Saccharomyces cerevisiae S288C: one gene and its partners. Changing the gene in region 3 together with the main gene of any one other region gives a genetic interaction. Each region holds a gene or a part of one and is shown on either strand. Other genes may lie near its edges.

What was found. Genes that interact genetically often act in the same process or in processes that back each other up.
Region 1: mutations in MET30 (region 3) and PSD2 together harm fitness more than expected from each alone (negative genetic interaction), as found in Saccharomyces cerevisiae (3 studies listed by BioGRID, with this or other methods).
Region 2: mutations in MET30 (region 3) and THI3 together harm fitness more than expected from each alone (negative genetic interaction), as found in Saccharomyces cerevisiae (2 studies listed by BioGRID).

Annotation. Positions count from the first base shown.
Region 1 is NC_001139.9:834,671-841,058, forward strand, and holds PSD2 (phosphatidylserine decarboxylase 2), read left to right. Parts: upstream 1-2,471; coding exon 2,472-5,888; downstream 5,889-6,388. Other genes in the region: pseudouridine synthase PUS6, read right to left, coding at 19-1,233; LSO2 (Lso2p), read right to left, coding at 1,717-1,995; methionine--tRNA ligase MSM1, read right to left, coding at 6,154-6,388. UniProt on the Saccharomyces cerevisiae protein: Catalyzes the formation of phosphatidylethanolamine (PtdEtn) from phosphatidylserine (PtdSer). Plays a central role in phospholipid metabolism and in the interorganelle trafficking of phosphatidylserine.
Region 2 is NC_001136.10:310,142-315,124, forward strand, and holds THI3 (branched-chain-2-oxoacid decarboxylase THI3), read right to left. Parts: upstream 2,331-4,983; coding exon 501-2,330; downstream 1-500. Other genes in the region: putative serine/threonine protein kinase MRK1, read right to left, coding at 2,810-3,903, 4,196-4,607. UniProt on the Saccharomyces cerevisiae protein: One of five 2-oxo acid decarboxylases (PDC1, PDC5, PDC6, ARO10, and THI3) involved in amino acid catabolism.
Region 3 is NC_001141.2:263,276-271,774, reverse strand, and holds MET30 (ubiquitin-binding SDF ubiquitin ligase complex subunit MET30), read right to left. Parts: upstream 3,125-8,499; coding exon 1,202-3,124; downstream 1-1,201. Other genes in the region: putative protein phosphatase regulator PIG2, read right to left, coding at 1-614; YIL046W-A (uncharacterized protein), read right to left, coding at 3,302-3,466; SYG1 (Syg1p), read left to right, coding at 3,952-6,660; aminophospholipid-translocating P4-type ATPase NEO1, read right to left, coding at 6,883-8,499. UniProt on the Saccharomyces cerevisiae protein: Substrate-recognition component of the SCF(Met30) complex, an E3 ubiquitin ligase complex that mediates the ubiquitination and subsequent proteasomal degradation of target proteins. Negatively regulates sulfur amino acids biosynthesis genes expression.

The DNA.
Region 1 (6,388 bases), on a different chromosome or scaffold from region 3:
GTTCGCTCAAAAAAAAGTTTAACTATTGTCCAATTGTGCCCATTTTGGTAAATCTGTTTTGAACTTGAATTTGCCATTAATCTCCTCATACTTCCAAGCATGCAACCATAATTCTAGGTCTGATAGCACAGGATCCTTTAAATCAACAGTATGACATTCAGGACAAAATGTTTCCATTGTCCGACAATTATTTTTTGTCTCATCGACAAATTTTTGAAACCTCACTTTCAATTCCTCAGCATCTAAATCCTGCTGATTCTCCCATCTAGGAAACTGAGTTATAAACTTAAGCCTTTCGGGGTATTTTGTAATATGCGAACAATAAACACTATCGTTGACGATGGGATGACCGAGCCTAGCTAAATGGATTCGAATTTGGTGTGTTCTTCCAGTTATTGGCTTACAAGCGACGACAGTTTCATCAGCATGAGAGAAGTATCTTATTGGGTAGAACTTGGTAATAGCATCCTTCGATGTCGATAAACCAACTGGAAACTGTCTCTTTGGATCGATAGAATATATGGGTGTCATTTCCACTGTAACTTTGGAAGTGTCCTCAAAAGTCGTTTCCGCCGCATTTTCATTGTCCAATATCAATTCGGAGTGAGGAAATCTTCCCTTGACCCTTGCCAAGTAGATCTTAATCATATCTCTTGAACGAATACTCTTCTGGATTTCCCCCGCACTCTGACTGTTCTTGGCCAATATCAACAAGCCTGATGTGATCTTGTCTAACCGATAACAAGGAAGAGCATCTACACCATGTAACTTCAGTAATTCAGTAATTGTGTTCTGGTAAAACTGACCGGTTGGATGCACTGGTATACCACTGGGTTTATCAATGACGAGGATACTCTCATCTTCAAAAACAATATTGAATCCCGCTATTCTGCCAGGTAAATCCTCCGCTTCAACTTCCTGGCTACACCATTGTTTTACCGGCGGTTCGTGCTTATGCGTAGTTGTTTCTAAAACATCATGATTCTTGATTATGGTAGTCATGAGATGATCTGGTACCAGCGGCACACCATCTCGGATCAACCTATATGTGCCTTTCCTTATTTGGTCCAAATAATAAGCTCTTGGGCGAAGTTTAAATTCACTAACGAGAACGTCTATTAGTAACTTACCCAACCAGCGCCCCTTCACGAACGCTGATCTTCTGTTATAATAGGGCCGTACCTTTCTCAGTCCATTCTGTGTATATACCTCAATAACTTTGATAGTTGACATACTTGACAATCATCCTTTTGCCCACTGATTGTCTCGAGCAATCGTCAATAAAGTTTTCACAAGAAACATTTATTTGCCTTTTAATGAAAGAAAAAAAGTAAATTTTTCATTAACTTTTATCATTGTTATCAATCTTCTTGTATGACAGCAAGCTATATATACATACATATGCAAATCTAATGTACATAATTTCAACTATTCATACCATTAGTACCATAAAGTCATTCTTTTTACTGTAAACTACACTTGCATTATCCTTCCTCGTCCCTCTTTATTCTTATAACGTTGAACAGTGATTTCTTACCATGTGTATTTTTGTACTCAACCCGCAAAAGATAAGCATCCTCATACAGAAGTATTATTATTACCACTGTTACTTTTATTGTCGTTATTTGTCTTGCGTTTTTATGTTTATGGAGATAAAGTGGGAATGACTTTATCATATGCAATTATTAGCCGCTATAAGGCTAAGATTCTTCAAATTTATTTCATTTTTCTTTTACCCTTGCCACCCTTGCCCAGTTGCTCCTCCTCTGCGGTTAGCAACGCATCGCGCTCCTTTTTAGCTCTTGCTTTTTCTTGTCTTTTTTGCTCTTCCTCTAATTTTTTGGCATTCTCTTTCCTCGAACCTTGTTCCCATTTAGAAGCTTCCTCCGCTTCTAGCTGCTCCATTTGTGCTCTTTGTTTAGCATGTGCCTGATCTCTTTTTCTTGCTAAGCCAGCTGCTTTCTTTGCGGCGGATTCTGAAAATCTTTTACCCATCTTTTTACTTCCTCTTTGCTATTCTATTATTTCCTGTATAGGCAGGTTTTGTGCTCAATTGATAAATTCTTTTACCTATTAAATATAAACTTGAGTTTCAACTTATTCAGCTTTATTTTAAACATTATACAAGTTTTTCATTTTGAGGGGTCTTTAACTGGAAAAAAAAAGCTTTCACGACTCAAAGAAAAAAAAAAAAATTTTTTTAGGGTAAAAAAAAACTAAGGGCTAATATGAAAAATACAAAGGTTATGTTACTTTAAAATGAGGTTTGGAAGAAGGAGAAAGACAAAAAAGCAGGGCACATGTCAAACTCTTGGAAACTTGAGATCCTAGCCCTAACGCATGTGCTACTTCAAGGAATTCTTCTTATATATGACAACTATTCCAATTTGATGCTAAAACTAGCCCAAAGTGGTTGATGCTGTATCAATTGGTAAAGAATCCTCGATTTTCAGGAGCATCCAACGACGAAGATGAGGATTATTAAGGGCAGAAAGCGAGGCAAGAACAAGAAGCCAACGCTAATTTTAAAAATTCATGTCATTCAAGCTGAAAATATTGAAGCCTTGAAGACATTCAATTGTAACCCGGTATGTTTTGTTACCACTAATACATTTTATAGTCAAAAGACGAACAAGCTCAAGAACTCAAATACACACTGGAATCAAACCTTGAGGATCAAACTTCCGAGAAATCCAACATCTGAATGGTTAAGGATTATAGTATACGACGCCCTACCAACCGGAGCTCCCCCTACTACCCCCAGTAGACCAAGGACAACCACTGCAAATACATCTTCATCGACACTGTCAAATTCAGGGCTAAGTTCTCACTCTCATTCGTCGAGAAATTTGAATGTTACGTCCAAAGGTAATCAAACTTCAACATCAATTAATTCAGTATCATCTTCAGCTACACCGGCCCCTTCACATTCTTCCTCTTCTCTCTCAACAACAGGTCCCGGGTCCACACACAAAAATAGGATTAATAGCTATCTATATTTGGGTGAAGCAAAAATTTCATTACTGGATTTATTCAAGAGGAAGGACACCACGACGAGCTATAAATTTTCAATTGAAGCTCAGCGGTACCATCTATACGATATGAAAGGAGGGAAAGACCAAGATTCCTTGAACTGCAACTTTCTAGTGGGCGATATTTTGCTTGGATTTAAGCTAGAATGTAACGTTAAAAGAACCCCGACTTTTCAGGCTTTCAATGCTTGGAGAAATGAGTTGAACACTTACTTGGGCAGAATAGATAGAAATAAGGCCCGCATGAGATCTTCTAGTTCTTTGCCACCTCCACTAGAAGATATGTTGAGCAATAGTTCAGCTGTTAGTGGAAATGAAATACGACGCGAGAAACCATATAGCGATACTGATCTAGCCCACGATGAAGAGGTCAATGCCGAGGATGAAATAGATGCTGAGGAATCTATTGAAGATATGAATAGCAGCGGCAGCATTTGTACGGAGAGGAGGTACGATATAGACAATGATACTATATTCGACTCTATATCTGAGGTTGTTTCGCTAAATGATGAAGAACTAGATATTCTAAATGATTTTGAAGAAGCAGATCATCCAAATGTGCCAGACATAAATGTGCATGACATCGACGAAGATACCCGTATCAGTCTATCTTCAATGATAACAGCTTTAGATGAATATGATATCGTAGAACCAGAAGATGTTGCAAAATTACCTGCAGTGTCGGAAAATGACATAACATCAGTGGATGACGAAGAATCTGAAAACCAACAGGAAAGTGATGAGGAGTTTGATATATATAATGAGGATGAGCGTGAAGATTCTGATTTTCAATCAAAAGAATACATTGGGAGTCGGCTTTTACACCTGCAAAGGGGTAAACATAATAAATCATATGCAAATTACTTATACAGAAGAGCAAAAAGTAACTTTTTTATATCGAAAAAGGAACATGCGATGGGGGTAGTATTTATGCATATTGGGGCTATCAAAAATTTACCTGCATTAAGGAATCGGTTGTCCAAGACTAATTATGAAATGGATCCATTTATCGTTATTTCGTTTGGTAGAAGAGTATTCAAGACATCTTGGAGAAAACATACTTTAAACCCAGAATTTAATGAATATGCCGCTTTCGAAGTTTTTCCCCATGAAACGAATTTTGCTTTCAGTATCAAAGTTGTTGATAAAGACTCATTTTCATTCAATGATGACGTTGCAAAATGCGAACTGGCTTGGTTTGATATGCTGCAACAGCAACAACATGAAAACGAATGGATACCTTATGAGATACCATTGGATCTCACTGTTGAGCCAGCACATGCTCCTAAGCAACCGGTATTATATTCGAGCTTCAAATATGTTTCATATCCGTTCTTAAAAAAGAGCTTTTGGAAAGAAGCTGTTGACACATCAGTCAACTTAGAGAGACTCGACATTATTCAAGTAATGCTCTATCTTGAACGTCTTGGTTCATTCACGATGGCCGATTCTTTTGAACTCTTTCAGCATTTCAATAAATCTGCTTGGGCCGGCCAGAGCATTACTAGATCACAATTAGTTGAAGGGCTACAGTCATGGAGAAAATCCACTAATTTTAAACGCATCTGGACATGTCCTAGATGCATGCGTTCATGCAAACCAACTAGAAATGCTAGACGTTCTAAACTGGTTCTAGAAAATGACTTGATAACCCATTTTGCCATATGTACGTTTTCAAAAGAACACAAAACTTTAAAGCCGTCGTACGTCTCATCTGCATTTGCATCCAAGAGATGGTTCTCTAAGGTTTTGATAAAATTAACTTATGGTAAATATGCTTTGGGATCTAACAATGCAAACATCTTGGTTCAAGACCGAGACACAGGGATAATTATTGAGGAAAAAATAAGCGCACACGTAAAGTTGGGAATGAGGATTATATACAATGGTAAAAGTCCCGAGTCTAAAAAATTTAGATCCCTCTTGAAGACTTTATCAATCAGGCAAGGCAAAAAATTTGACAGCACTGCATCTGCCAAACAAATTGAACCTTTCATAAAGTTTCACTCGCTAGACCTTTCACAATGCCGAGATAAAGATTTTAAAACATTCAATGAATTTTTTTACAGGAAACTAAAACCAGGAAGCCGGCTGCCTGAAAGTAATAATAAAGAAATATTGTTTTCACCAGCAGATTCAAGATGCACAGTGTTCCCAACTATACAAGAATCGAAGGAAATATGGGTGAAAGGAAGAAAATTTTCTATTAAGAAACTAGCCAATAACTATAATCCGGAAACATTTAATGACAATAACTGCAGTATTGGTATATTTAGACTGGCGCCACAAGATTATCACCGGTTTCACTCACCATGTAATGGTACGATTGGAAAACCTGTATATGTGGATGGAGAGTATTATACTGTAAATCCAATGGCCGTTCGTAGTGAGTTAGACGTCTTTGGTGAAAATATCAGAGTTATTATCCCCATCGATTCTCCTCAATTTGGCAAACTACTGTACATACCTATTGGTGCAATGATGGTTGGATCCATACTATTGACCTGCAAAGAAAACGATGTAGTTGAGAGTGGACAGGAGCTGGGCTATTTTAAATTTGGAGGTTCTACTATAATAATCATTATCCCGCACAACAACTTCATGTTTGATTCCGACCTTGTGAAAAACTCTTCAGAACGCATTGAAACGTTAGTCAAAGTCGGGATGAGTATAGGACACACATCAAATGTGAATGAATTGAAGAGAATCCGTATTAAAGTAGACGACCCAAAGAAAATTGAACGGATCAAGAGAACAATTAGTGTTAGCGATGAAAATGCCAAGAGTACAGGAAATGTAACATGGGAATATCATACTTTACGGGAAATGATGAATAAAGATTTTGCTGGGCTATGAAGCCGCCGAAAAATTGGCTGTAGTTAGTGGTTACCAAAATGGAAAAAAAAAAAAAACATGAACAATCTCCCTCAGACTTTATTATAGACTATAGCGTGTACAAACAAGTCATCGTTGATAATGAAAGCAATGGTTTCATACCAGGAAATTTCCTATGAAAAATATGCATTTTTATTAGTAACAAAAGAAACTATATTCCTAGTCCTCTTGCAGAAAATACGATATAATACTTAAGTTAATATTTACAGTGCAGTAAGTACCTTTTTCATGACCTCATATTCGTTTGTTCCTCTTGCAACCTGAATGGAATTTTTTTCAAAGGTACTTCTCGGCCTTTCTTGTTAGATTGCTTTCCATATGTTTTATCGGAACCCAATCTAGCATAATTTATAGTCCTTTTCTCCTTTGAAACATCAATACGATCTAGGAAACTTTGTGAGAGAGATGGTATAATGGATTGGCATAAAATGGAGAGGATTCTAGACGTTTCCATAGCCAAA
Region 2 (4,983 bases), on a different chromosome or scaffold from region 3:
GATAATCGGTTTAAGCTGTTGTATTGGACAAAGCGGACTATTTCTTTATTCTTTTGATTTCTTTTACTAAAAATTATTCAGAACAGAAGAGATCGCAAACTTTATAAAGATATTTTTTTCAAATACCATGTAAAGGCATTCTTTAAAAAATGAAAAAAAAAAAATCATTACAAAGTTGCGTGGTATCATCTTACGATATTCGTACCTCACGATATGTAGCAGACATAGATGAGGCTACAGGGTTAAGGCTTCTTTTAAATGAAGTATTAGACAAGATACTAGAGTTTAATAAGATCACGTATGGTAATGTTATTTCTTGCTGTGACAATTTTAGAAACAGAAGGCATGTGAGTTTTCATATTACATTAATTAAATGAAATTTTTATAAGCTAGGCTACTGTTCAGCGAATAAATATTTTCAAGCCAGTTTTATGAGGCAGGAAACGTCGCATTCGAGCGGTAATCATGAGGGTCCCTGGTAGTAGGGCGGAGAGATCAGATCAGTATCCAACTTGATTTTTTTTTAGAAGTGGTTGGAATTCTGGAGTTGGCGTATTTACTGCGCTAGAATTTTCGTTCTCCTCTTGCACTTGTTTGCTCTGTTCTTTTTCTACCACCCACCTGTCAAGCAGAGCCTGTGGAACATCCCTTGGTGGTAGCATAATCTCTATCATCCGAATTTTGTCATTGGTCGCAAAGTTTGGGTCACTGATCATGGATCTGAATTCTCCAACAGTAATAATTTTTTTCGTTTCGTAGTTCGTGCAACCAAATACTCGCAATAATCCCAAGTAGTTCCAAGGTTGGATATCGTAATAACTAGCATCTGACCTGTGATGCAAAAACCTGTCCACAGAGTAACCTTGGTTATTCATCACAAAAATATAAGGTGTCAATCCCCACTTAACAATTGTGGATAATTCTTGAACTGTCAATTGGAAAGCACCGTCACCCATAAACAGAATAACTCTATGTTTAGTTGCGGGGAATTTATCCTTGTTTATCTCTTGAACAGCAAATTCTGCCCCAAGACACGCCCCCATTGTATATCCGACAGATCCCCAAAGAGCTTGCGAAATACCTAGTGTATTTACCGGAAATCTGGTCTGGTTAACTCCAAATGCAGAAGCACCAGTTTCTGTTATGATTATGTCACCTGGTTGGAACCAATGGGATATTTCATTCCAGACCCATTCTTGTCTCAAGAGGACATTTCCTGCTGGGTAAGGTCTTGGAACCATCATACTGGGTTGTTCGCTTGGTTGGTAAGACAGTTTAGATTCATCAAGATTTGCTAATATTTTCTGTAGTAGTAATTTAATGCTCAAGTCAGGATATGTGGCATTTTTCAATTTCACAGATGTAGAATATAGTAGCGCACAATTCTTAGTTTTATATTGGAAGTGGAAAGTTGACGTGCTGAATTCGGAGAGCATGCAACCAATGACGATGATAAAATCGGCAAAATCAACTACTTCTCTTACTTCTGGGGCTGATATCGAGCCCGTGAATACGCCCCCAAATTGCGGGTCTGTTTCGTTTACTGTACCCTTACCCATAGGTGTAACAAAAACTGGAAATTTAAGCCTATTACAAAGCTCTTTAGTCTCCTCGATTAAATTCTGTCGACTAGTACATGCATCTACGATGATTGCCGGATTCTGGCTTTTGTATATAAAACTCAATATTCGAGAAATAACTTCTTTCTCTACGTCTGGGTCGTTTTTATGCAATTGTAAATCCAGAGGTGTATTAAGCCTTGCTGATTCAATCGGGAGATTTACCTGGTTGACAGGCATGCCCATGTATACTGGCCTCTGTTCTATCCAAGCCTTTTTGATGCACTTATCGACTTCGTCGGCACATAATTCAGAGTCAATAATCAATGTTGTATAGCATGCTACATCACTGGCTATTCTATGAAATACCGTGAAATCACCATTGCCCAGAGTATGATGCAGTAGTAGTTGTTTCGTTTGTGCACTTGTTGGCGGCATACCCACTATGTGAAGTATTCCTACATGTTCAGCGTAAGATCCGGCCACGCCATTGATTGCCGATAATTCGCCTACACCAAAGGTTGTTATGAGACATCCCAAGCCTTTTAGTCGTGAGTATCCATCTGCTGCGTAGGCAGCATTTAACTCATTAGAATTACCGGCCCATCGTAAGTTCGGAATGTTGTATAGTTTATCCAGCAACGGCATGCTAAATTCTCCGGAGAGTCCAAATATGGTATGTATGTTCAGCTGGTTGAGCCGATGGAAAAGATAATCTGATATTGCTATACACTTCGGCAGTGCATATCTCTGTGTATAGCTAGAATTCATCTTCAGAATGACGACGGTGCGTTTTAGTAGTTATGTTCTTTCAAACCTTTTTTTTTTCGTTTTATTATATTTTACTCTTTTCTACACAATATCGATAATGAATTACGAATTTGGTGCTTACCAAAAGGTTCAAAGATTACTATGCCGTAAAGTATGAAGAAAGGGAAATTTGTTCAATGCATCGCAAGTTTCATCAATTTTTCTTCTATGTGAGTGCTTTTAGCAACTGTTTGCAATAAAGAAACATAGGAGTTCTTACAGTTGCCAAGGTTCTGCATATGCAGTCATACGCTTGTGGCCGGTGAAAATTTGGGCGACCGCTGCCTAGAAAAGCAGCAAGTGAAATTAAATGAAGGAAAGAGGACGGTCGTTATACGTTAGGTTAACTGCATACGCTGTGTATCTGTGTGCAGAAGACAAATGCATATTATGTAATAGTAATGATACAATAGACTAAGAAATTTGAAGGATGAGATATATCACAAAGACGATGAAGGTGCAGAAACAAAATGTTTCAACCGTTCTTCAATGGCGGGCCGTTCCACAAGTGGAACATGGCCCAACTCAGTTTCCACGTCGAAGTCAAATATACGCAGGTTTTGTGCTTTTACGTAAGTGTCGGTATCACAACGTTTGGTTTCGTCAAAATAGCTTGATAATAGACATTGTAGAGGTACCAATCTTTCGCAAGGGTGATACTTCAGAGTTTTTGTTAACAAGTCAAGAGTATCGGGATCTTCGGCTTTGAATATTTCAGCCAAAGTAATGGGCTTGATATTGGGGAAAACATGGTCTTCATAATTTGGGTTCATTCCTGAAATTTCATCCTTTGTGGGTATGCCCATTATCTTAATAATTTCCACCAACTGATCTATACCGCTTTCACCAGAGAACAAGGGCTTGCCCAAAAGCAACTCAGCAATGACACAAGCGCTTGACCACACGTCGACCTGGTTTGAGTAATTAGTGGCACCAAACATGAGTTCGGGAGCCCTATAGTACCTTGAACAGATGTAAGACACATTAGGCTGATCCGGTTTCAAGCATTTGGCACTGCCAAAATCGCAAATCTTGAAAGAAAAAGTTGTCGGATCCACCAGTAGGTTTTGCGGTTTTATATCTCTGTGACAGATTCGAGGAACGTTATGCAAATAGTTTAAAGCTTTGAATAGTTGGTATGCATAGAATTTAATTTCAACACGCGGCATCTGCATTTTCAAATTAACAAAATGACGAAGCCTTTGGTATAACGACTGAGGCATGTAGTCCAAAACCAGATTGAGGTATACTTCATCTTCTTCGTCCTTTTCGTAAAAGTAGTACTGTAGACCCACAGTATTTGGATGGCACAACATCTTCATAGTTTCGAGCTCCCTATTTTTATATCTTCTATCTTGTAGTACTTTCTTTATGGCAACTTTTTGATTGGTCTCAATTATTACAGTCGTGACTACAACACCAAATGAACCATGGCCAACCACTTCTGTCGTAGGATAACTGATGTCGATAGTTCCTCCATGATTTTTTCGGTCGACATCAGTTTTGCGGTCATGTTTATAAACCCGTTTATGAACTAAACCTATGTTAGTATATAATGTGATTCCCATAAAAAATGGTAGTTGATGTAATATGGAAAAATGTTCCGCTATGCTTCCTGATATTTCGTAAGCAAGTTTCTAAGATTAGGGATGCAATTTCATAAATCTTTATTTTACACTCTCTTTTTTTTTCTTTTAATTATTTTTTTTTGTGTCGCGATACTATGAACTGACAGTAGTTCCACTATTCACTCCGGTTGTGACGAAAGAAACATTCCTCCACTGGCAAGAACATAAAAAAAAAAAATAAAAAATAATTATACATACTAGTCCTTTCCTTGGTTTTAATATACCTATAATCAAAATTAATCATTTTCTCAACCTTCTCTTTACTAAGCTTGCTACTAATATTTTCGTGCTTATTGGCAACTTTTCCATCTGTTTTACTGTCCGAGATATTGGCGTGTTCAATGTGATCAACTGCAATACCCTCCTTTCCCCCGTCTATCAGTTTAGATATTATAAGATTCTCTATGTCGTTGATGTACTCTGAACTGTTATTGAAATTAGGTACAGTATGGTGAACTTGAACGTCGCTTACCTTTTTGATTGTATCAGGCTTTCTCTTCTTCTTTTCTAGGGCAGTATTACTCTGTATAGATGTCTTGTGTTTTAGCTGAAGGTTATCTGAGTTATTGAAGGAAATCTTTCGCACTAGGCTTCTCAACACATCGGTCATAGTAGACTATTTTACAATTTTCACCTCTTCAATCTTGAGATTATTTTCAAGTCCCTTCCCCGCAGTATGGTAGAAACGGAAATACTTGTATGCAGCAGGGTTCTTATAGCACCAGTATTTTTTAGAGAATGCTTATTTAAGTTGCAAGATATAGCGACAAAAGGAGAACCAATCTTTCTCAGATCCGCCGCTGGAACAGCTCTCCGGTAGATCCTAACGGATAATGCTGCCCCTGGTTAGTTCCTCATCGGACGACTTTGCTCCCAGGGGCGGCCTTTGTCTTTCTCTTTTGCAGAATCAACTCTATTTTCCCCACCCCCCCGCTTTTTTTTTTTCATGTTCCTTTACCAATCTTTGAAAAATCACGAGATGGTGC
Region 3 (8,499 bases):
ATTGGTAAAACACGATCGAAATGGACACTTTTACTTCTTTGCAATAGCCTAGTATCTACATGATCTAAATTGACATGTTTACTCTTAGAGCCAGTTTTGTTGAATATAGATTTGGGAGTAATGGGTAGGGACTTGGATCTTCTTTTTAATGAACTCTTAACCAGTTCTCCAGATTTCTTGTAAATGGGAGGTGAAGGATTACCATTTTCCTCGGATTCATACTGGAAATTATCATGTGATAGAGGAGAGATTTCGTCTTCCTCCTCGCCTAATTTACTGACGTCTTGATGATGTGCGTTAAAGTTCGCTCCAGAATTTATAAACGGGTGATGGGCATGAACTTGTTTCCCATTAAAATACATTCCCTTATTCATGTCCGTATTTCTTTGAAGCTCGTCCTGAGGTAATCTGTGCAGTTTTACATTAGATAGTCTCCTGGGCTTGTGCAAAAACTCCAGAGAGTTCAGCCTGGCAGGGTGCATGTGCATGCTCATACCAGCAAAAGTTCTTATATTCGCATTTATGTTTCCATAGTTATTGTTGTGGGCACTGTTATTAGGAAGATTTAAAGGTTCATCCATCAGTATATTTTGTGGTTGCGTGGTGGTGGCCATACGGATAAAAGCAATAATACTAGCTAGCTATATTATCTTTTTTTATTTATTATTAAGCTATTACCAAAGCTGGCGCCTCAACTGTTGGGTTCTTGTCTATTTTATGTATATTCTATATTTCAAGGATTACGGAATCGATAAGTATTCTATTATGTAATCGCCTTTATATACAATGGCCGTGCGCGTTTATATAATAAAGTACCTTCGCCCTTTGGATTTATTAGTACTGTTGAGGGAACAATATTGCAGATTATGGATCTTGTACGACATTTTATGCGTACGCCCTCTTCATCATCGCCGTCAATATAATAAGCTTTATCTTCAGTCCCCCCCTTGACATCCCCCTTAGCGTGGGAAGGGCTCCGTGGGGGAGTAATAGCATCTAATGGTCAAGAGTTTTATCGAGACGAAAAAGAGGAAGGAAAAAAACTGAAGATGGAAAAGGCTAGTGATACGCTAGCGATTTATTTTTTTCCTGGAAATAAAATAAATGTAAAATGCTATTATGTATTTTTCATTATATATGTAAGCATATATATTCGAGGTACTACGGATGTTTTTGACCAAGAAAAGACCACACACAGGTCCTAATCATTGAGATCGAATTTGTACATTTTTACGCACCCAAATTCATCACCACTAAAGCATTCTGAATCTCCAATACAAACACAAGCGATAGGGGCGACTTTATCACCCAAGGATTGTGTTTGTGTGTGCTGAGTTTCTCTTTGTAGTCTTCGACCGTTGAACGTGTGCATACACTTCCCGCTTTGCAAGTCCCAGACCTTAATGCTTCCGTCGTGAGAACCACTTATAATTCTGAAGTTGTCAGCGGCGATGTCCCAAACACCTTCCACGTGCCCAAACTGTGTTCTTATGCATTTACCGGTTTTGACGTCCCATAGTTTGATTGTGTTATCCAGTCCGCAAGATAGTAGATGTGTTGGATAAGGTATGTTTTCATCTAAGACAGTTTCTTGCTCGTTCGACGGTGTGTCTGATTCGTCTGCACCATCAGTCATTGTTGGGTCATCCTGCGGAGAGCTGCCATCAGAAGTGTTGTCGGTGGCTAGATTCTCTACATCCTTAATGGTAAGCGGTATGATCTTTTGCACCTGCCCTACATGACCCCTGAACACTTTTAGGCATGAATTGGTCCTGATATCCCACATTCGGATTGTGGTATCGTCACTGCAACTAAAACATGAAAAGCTTTTCGGATGCAATTTGACGCAATTAACCCATTCCGTGTGGCCTCTCAAGGTGTAGCATGTCCTGGACTCCACGTGCCATACCTTGACCGTCTTGTCAGCACTGCCGGAAACGATAACCTTCTGGTATGAATCTACGCTCAGAACGCTATCCGAGTGGCCTCGATACGTGGAAATGCATTCACCGGTTATGTAGTTCCAAACACGGATCGTCTTGTCGAGCGAGCCCGTAATCAGCTTTCTATCGTCAAAATATAATGTCTTGACGCCGTCCGAATGGCCGCTGAGCCTTCGTATTAGCTTCCCCGTGAATAAGTCCCATATACCTATGGTGGAGTCGTACGAGCCTGTGAACAAAAGCCTGTAGTTAAACTGGAGCGTTAACACACCATCCATGTGGCCCTTGAATTCCTGAATCCTGCAGTGGCCCTTTCTCCAGTTTGACTCCACTTTGAACCGTTCTCTGTAGATGACTTTCCAAGGTCGCGTAGTTTGCGTCTGGATATCTGCGTTGCTGCTAGATCCTGTACTATTCTGTTGTATCCGCGCACGTTTCATGTGCAAAAGAGGCAGCCCCCAGCCACAGTTGGGACATTTCCTGTCTATGTGCTGCTCGCACATGTGGTACCATACCCTGTCGTCATCCGCGAGCTTCTGCCACTTGCGGCACACTCTCGTGGCGTTGCAAAGAGATTGGCAATCCAGATAACTCAAGATCTTCAGCGACAGCTCCTGCGGCAGAATGCTGATGAAGTCGATCTTGATCATGTGTGTAACGAGTGACGAAATGTAGGAAAGCTGTGGGAAGCAACTCGTCGATAGGATCCCATCCAGAATCAGCTTCCGTATCTTGTCATTGGAATTGCTGTACTTCGAGATAATGTGGTGGATGTCGGATTGCTCCTGCAGGGGTAGCTTCGCGATATTAGCATTAATCTCTTGCGTTCGTTTCAAATCCTGCTTGTAGCACGCTGTATGAGTTGGTGAGAACTGAATGTCCGGGTTATGCCGATAGCAGAACTTGGTGAAGTTATATTCTGGCAATGGCTGTACCCTAGTGCCGCTGTCGTTTGTCGCCAAATCGGGTGATGACGATGGCGACCTCGTCGCCATCGTCATCTTCTTCTTACCCGATGATCCTTGTGCCAAATCATCGCTACTGCCCGTAATAAGCAATCTCTTTAATGGTGGCATCATCGCCGTATCTGTCATTTCACTGCTGTTATTACTATTACTATTGTCAAGGTCGTCCTTGTCCTTGTCCTCGAAACTCATCATCCTTTGCCTCTCTCTCCTCATGCCCTTCTCCTTTATAAATCACCAAACACACACCCCTTTACCGATACTCAAGCCTCTTCTCTAAACTTCTTTAACTGCAGTCTTCTCTTACGATACAGACTGCAAGGTTGCTTTCTTCTTACGCTGATGAAAAAAAATAAAATATCTCCGCGCAAACTGTGGCTTCCCGATCACGTGCTACAACCTCATTTCTACATTAAAACACACACATTGTACCACACACGCCAACACACATATACACGCACAATCACTCCCACACATATACAAACACACGACATATGAATATATATAGTACACGCGCCAATCCATTAGTTTTTTTTTTGGGATACAGACGCACATCATGGCTTCTTGCCCGTTTAGTGCAATACAATAGCCTTGTGTTGCCGTGCCACACCCTGCAGTTATCTCTCCCAGATCTGTCTTTCCATCCCCTTAGTTGCTATCGCTGCAGCCATTTGTTCAAAATCGTTATCACCATCATTCATCATCACTTATCATTATCATGCACATGCTGCCAGCCGCTGCGGCTGGCTATGTGTTGGTAGTCATCGAGTCGGAAGCCCATCATCGGTGTGGGTGTGAGGCATTTCTAGAACGGATTTTGGGTGCCGTTTGTCACGTGGGACGGGATGCGGTTTTATTTGACGCAAGTTCCATGAACATCATCGCACGGTTTCGCAACAGTTTGGGACTGTACATGTACAAGATGGGTTTTCTCCTTTGCTTTTTTGTTTTGTTTTGTTTGATTTGATGGTTGGTAGTTATTTTTTTTTTTTTTTTAATTCAGTTGGCAGCAATGGAAGGGCTTTACCATAGCACCGTATCAGATGAAGTTTGCTGACCATCTAACCGAGTCTGCCATCCCGGAATGGAGGGACAAATATATTGATTATAAGGTCGGCAAGAAGAAGCTTCGCCGCTACAAGGAGAAGCTGGATGCCGAAGAAGAGCAATCCAGCTCCTACCGGAGCTGGATGCCCTCTGTGTCGGTATACCAGACTGCATTTCAGCAGAGAGAGCCCGGCAAAAGTCGCAGCGACGGAGACTATCGCTCCGGACCTGCGTTCAAGAAGGACTATTCTGCTTTGCAGAGGGAGTTCGTTGCTGACTTCATTGAAGACTGGTTGATCTCGTTCCAGTTGAGTAAGTGTAACGAGTTTTACCTTTGGTTGCTAAAGGAGTGCGACAAGAAGTTTGAGGTTTTACAGTCGCAACTGCACTATTACTCGCTGCAGAAGAATTATGAGCGCGACAACTTGAACCGGTCTAGTTCGAATGTTGACATGTCCACGAGTCTATATGCGGCAGGGCTTGCTGGTCGTTCTGACTCCAGGGTCAATAGCATCGACAGCGATAGCCGGTCTGTTATGTATGGGTCAATGCCCTGCACCAAAGAGGCCAAGAAGCCGCGTTTGTCGCTGCTAGCGTACTGTCAGAAAGTTCTTAAGGACAATAGGCTGCTGCCATCGTGGCCCAAACGTGGATTTTCTCTGCTACAGGACTTGAGACAGGATGCGTCCTCAAGAGGCCGCGAGACGTTTGCTTTTGGCGCTTCTTTTCTGGAGACTATGACGACAACCCAGGCTAGAAACTTGTTAAGCAACGCTATAATCGAGTACTATCTGTACTTGCAATTGGTCAAATCGTTCCGGGATATCAACGTCACCGGGTTCCGTAAAATGGTCAAGAAATTCGACAAAACGTGTCACACAAGAGAGCTGACCACGTTCATGTCGTACGCCAGGACCCACTACACCCTTTTCAAGCACGCGGATGCCAACGTGCAGTTGGTGGCACAGAAGATGCAACAAATAACCAGTTCGCAACCAACACCCACTTCGGAGCTCTCTTCCGCCCAAAGAGACAAAGAGCCCATCACTTGGTTGGAAACGCAGATCACCGAGTGGTTCACCACTGCGTTGACCAATTCGCCTAAGGACAGGAAGCACAATACCCATAAGTTGAAGAAATTGACCATTCAGTACTCTATCTCCGAACAAATGGTTCATAGAAACAACAGATCGATTGTGCAGATGCTGGTTGTCGGGCTGGGCATAGGTGTGTCAATGACTTTGATCACTTACACTTTGTATTTGGGCATTAGCTCTGAAGAAACGTCATTTACGCACAAGATTCTGTTCCCACTGTGGGGTGGTTGGTACATGGTTTTGTTGATCGCGTTTCTCTTTCTTGTTAATTGTTTTATCTGGCATAGAACCGGGATTAATTATAGATTTATTATGCTGGGTGAGATTCAATCCAAGAATGGTACGCAATTTTTCAACAATGATTTTGCCACGAGTAAAATTCCGCTCAAGTTGTATTTCTTGACATTCTTCATAGTACCTTGTGCGGTCTGTTCCATGTTAAGTTTCGCTTTGGAGAAGCTCACACCCTTAGGCTTTTTATATATTGGTATTGTGTCTTTCTTATTTTTATGTCCCTCTGGTCTAATTCCATATTGGGACAAAGTTGTACACACTAGAAAATGGCTGGTGGTTACTCTTATTAGACTGATGATGTCTGGTTTTTTCCCTGTTGAGTTTGGTGATTTCTTTTTGGGAGATATTATTTGTTCGTTGACGTATTCTATTGCCGATATTGCCATGTTCTTCTGTGTTTACTCTCATACGCCCAACAATCTATGTGGCTCTTCACATTCCAGAGCAATGGGTGTTTTATCATGTTTACCAAGTTATTGGAGATTCATGCAATGTTTACGAAGATTTGCTGATTCCGGTGATTGGTTCCCTCATCTTTTGAACGCGGCGAAATACACTTTGGGTATAGCGTATAATGCCACACTTTGTGCTTACAGATTGTCAGACCGTTCTGAACAAAGGAGAACCCCTTTTATCGTGTGCGCTACGTTGAATTCGATCCTTACTTCCGCCTGGGATTTAGTTATGGATTGGTCCTTTGCTCACAATACTACTTCTTACAATTGGTTGCTAAGAGACGACTTGTATTTAGCTGGTAAAAAAAATTGGGAAAACGGCAGTTATTCATTCAGTAGGAAGTTAGTTTATTACTTTGCTATGATTTGGGATATCCTCATTAGATTTGAGTGGATTGTATACGCAATTGCTCCTCAAACAATTCAGCAGAGTGCTGTGACGTCGTTTATATTGGCCCTTTTGGAGGTTTTAAGAAGATTCGTTTGGATCATCTTCAGAGTCGAAAATGAACATGTTGCCAATGTTCACCTATTCAGGGTTACCGGTGACGCTCCTCTGCCTTATCCAATTGCGCAGGTCGGTGATGATTCTATGGATAGTAGTGATTTGGGTTCAAAAGCCTTTTCATCACTTAACGACATACCTATCACGCCTTCACATGACAATAATCCTCACAGTTTTGCCGAACCTATGCCCGCTTACCGTGGGACTTTCAGAAGAAGGTCCTCCGTGTTTGAGAACATTTCGAGATCCATTCCTTGGGCACATGCAACTGATTTCCAAAGACCAACTGTCAATACCGTGGATGATAGGTCTCCCGAAACAGATAGTGAAAGTGAAGTGGAAAGTATTATGTGATTTGGGCTGGACATGATATTTGCTATTGTTAACCTGCTAAAGATGCTTATTTGAGGAAGTACAAAGAAAAGAAAATAAAAAGTAAAAGAAAAAAAATGTAACAAAATAATATTATGCATAATCTATATCTTCTTTGTAAAAATAAGAATTTATATTTTGAAATATGATAGATTTTTTTAAGATAATCCGTTGAAGCAACAAGAAAAATCCAAACCAATTGAATTATGGAGTGGCAAACTCTTGCACTTTTGCATAACTTGGAGGATGTAGCCTTCTATAAATTGCCTTTGCCGTCCAGACAGGAAAGATCGAGATGAGTAATATAACTAAAAGTCCAGCATAGTAATTTACGGTAGTCATATAACCTAAATCAAAATAATCGCCAAGAAATGGAACCGATACAATGTAAAATAGTAAAGTAGCAATTTCAGTGACGAGCATTGTTTTATTCCATGTGTAGATTTCTAAGGCAACCATTATTAATTCATTTACAACCAAAGCAGTGAAGCTGATAGCAACCATCCTTGTGAAATCAGTATCTAATAAACTCGTAAAGGCCTGAGAAAATAATTGAATTACAGAACCTTGGAATAGCGATAATAGAACCCAAACAAAGAACGTCTTATATGATAAGCTCTTACCTTCAGTCAATTCTTTGTACAATTCTGGGTATATTTTAGTCAATGACTCTTCGATATCGTGATCAAGAGTTAATGAAAAGACTGGAGCCATTGTATAGCAGGTAGCATAACCGACCATTAACCAACCTTGATAAAGAGCAATAGGTTCGAACAACGAACAGATGGAATATACCGCTTGGCAAATTGCAATGATTAAACCTCTATGCATGACAAATTGAGCCAATTTAGCAGATCTTTTGTAAGAGTTCCTACCATGCCATAATAGTAATTCGGTGAGGTGACAAAATTGCGTTATAGAAAAATCAGCAGCTAAAGAAGCTTGTTTACCTTCTTTACCCACAATCCCTACGCCAACATCTGCACATTGAATCATACTAACATCGTTACCTCCATCACCAATACAGCATACCCTTTTGCCCGTCATTTTACGAATTACCAAAGCAACGTCTGCCTTCTGTTGAGGTGTACAACGGCAAGCAATAACAGTGGGTAAATGAACCACGACATCAAAAAATTCCTGTTCGTAATGTTTCAAAAACATTCCCAGGGATTCACCATCTATTAAAAGACAAGCATTTCTATTGATTTTTAGATACTCCAGCTGATTGAATGCACCTTCCGGTCTTGTGACTTTTGTTATCGTATGAACATATTGGCCACGAGATATTAATTTTGCACTTATGGAAACACAACGAGCAGTTTCAACTTTATCACCTGTCAGCATCCAAATCTTGATACCTGCGTTTCTTAATAACTCGATAGAGGACTTCACATCCTTCTGTAACTTATCTTCTACACCAGTTAGACCCAATAATTCAAGATCATGCTCTAAATACTTGGTGATAACTTGACTCATCTGTTGATCACGATTTAGCATTGACAAAGAGGCATCGTTGTATTCTTTTTGAAATTGCTCGTAAATTTTCTTGTTTAATTTTTTACGACCGATAACCAAAGTACGTAGACCTTCACGAGCCATATTACCTGTTTCTTCCTCTAGCCAATCATTGCTTTCCACAATTTTTGACATGACAGTATCGGCCCCTTTTTGCATAAACCAATATTCATCCAATTGCTCATCACGAACAATGATACCCATACGCTTAGAATCAGAATTAAATGGGAATACTTGTAAAATTTCGTAATTTAAAGTCTTACCAGAATGTTCGTGTAATAAAGAAATTGAATGGCGATCTCT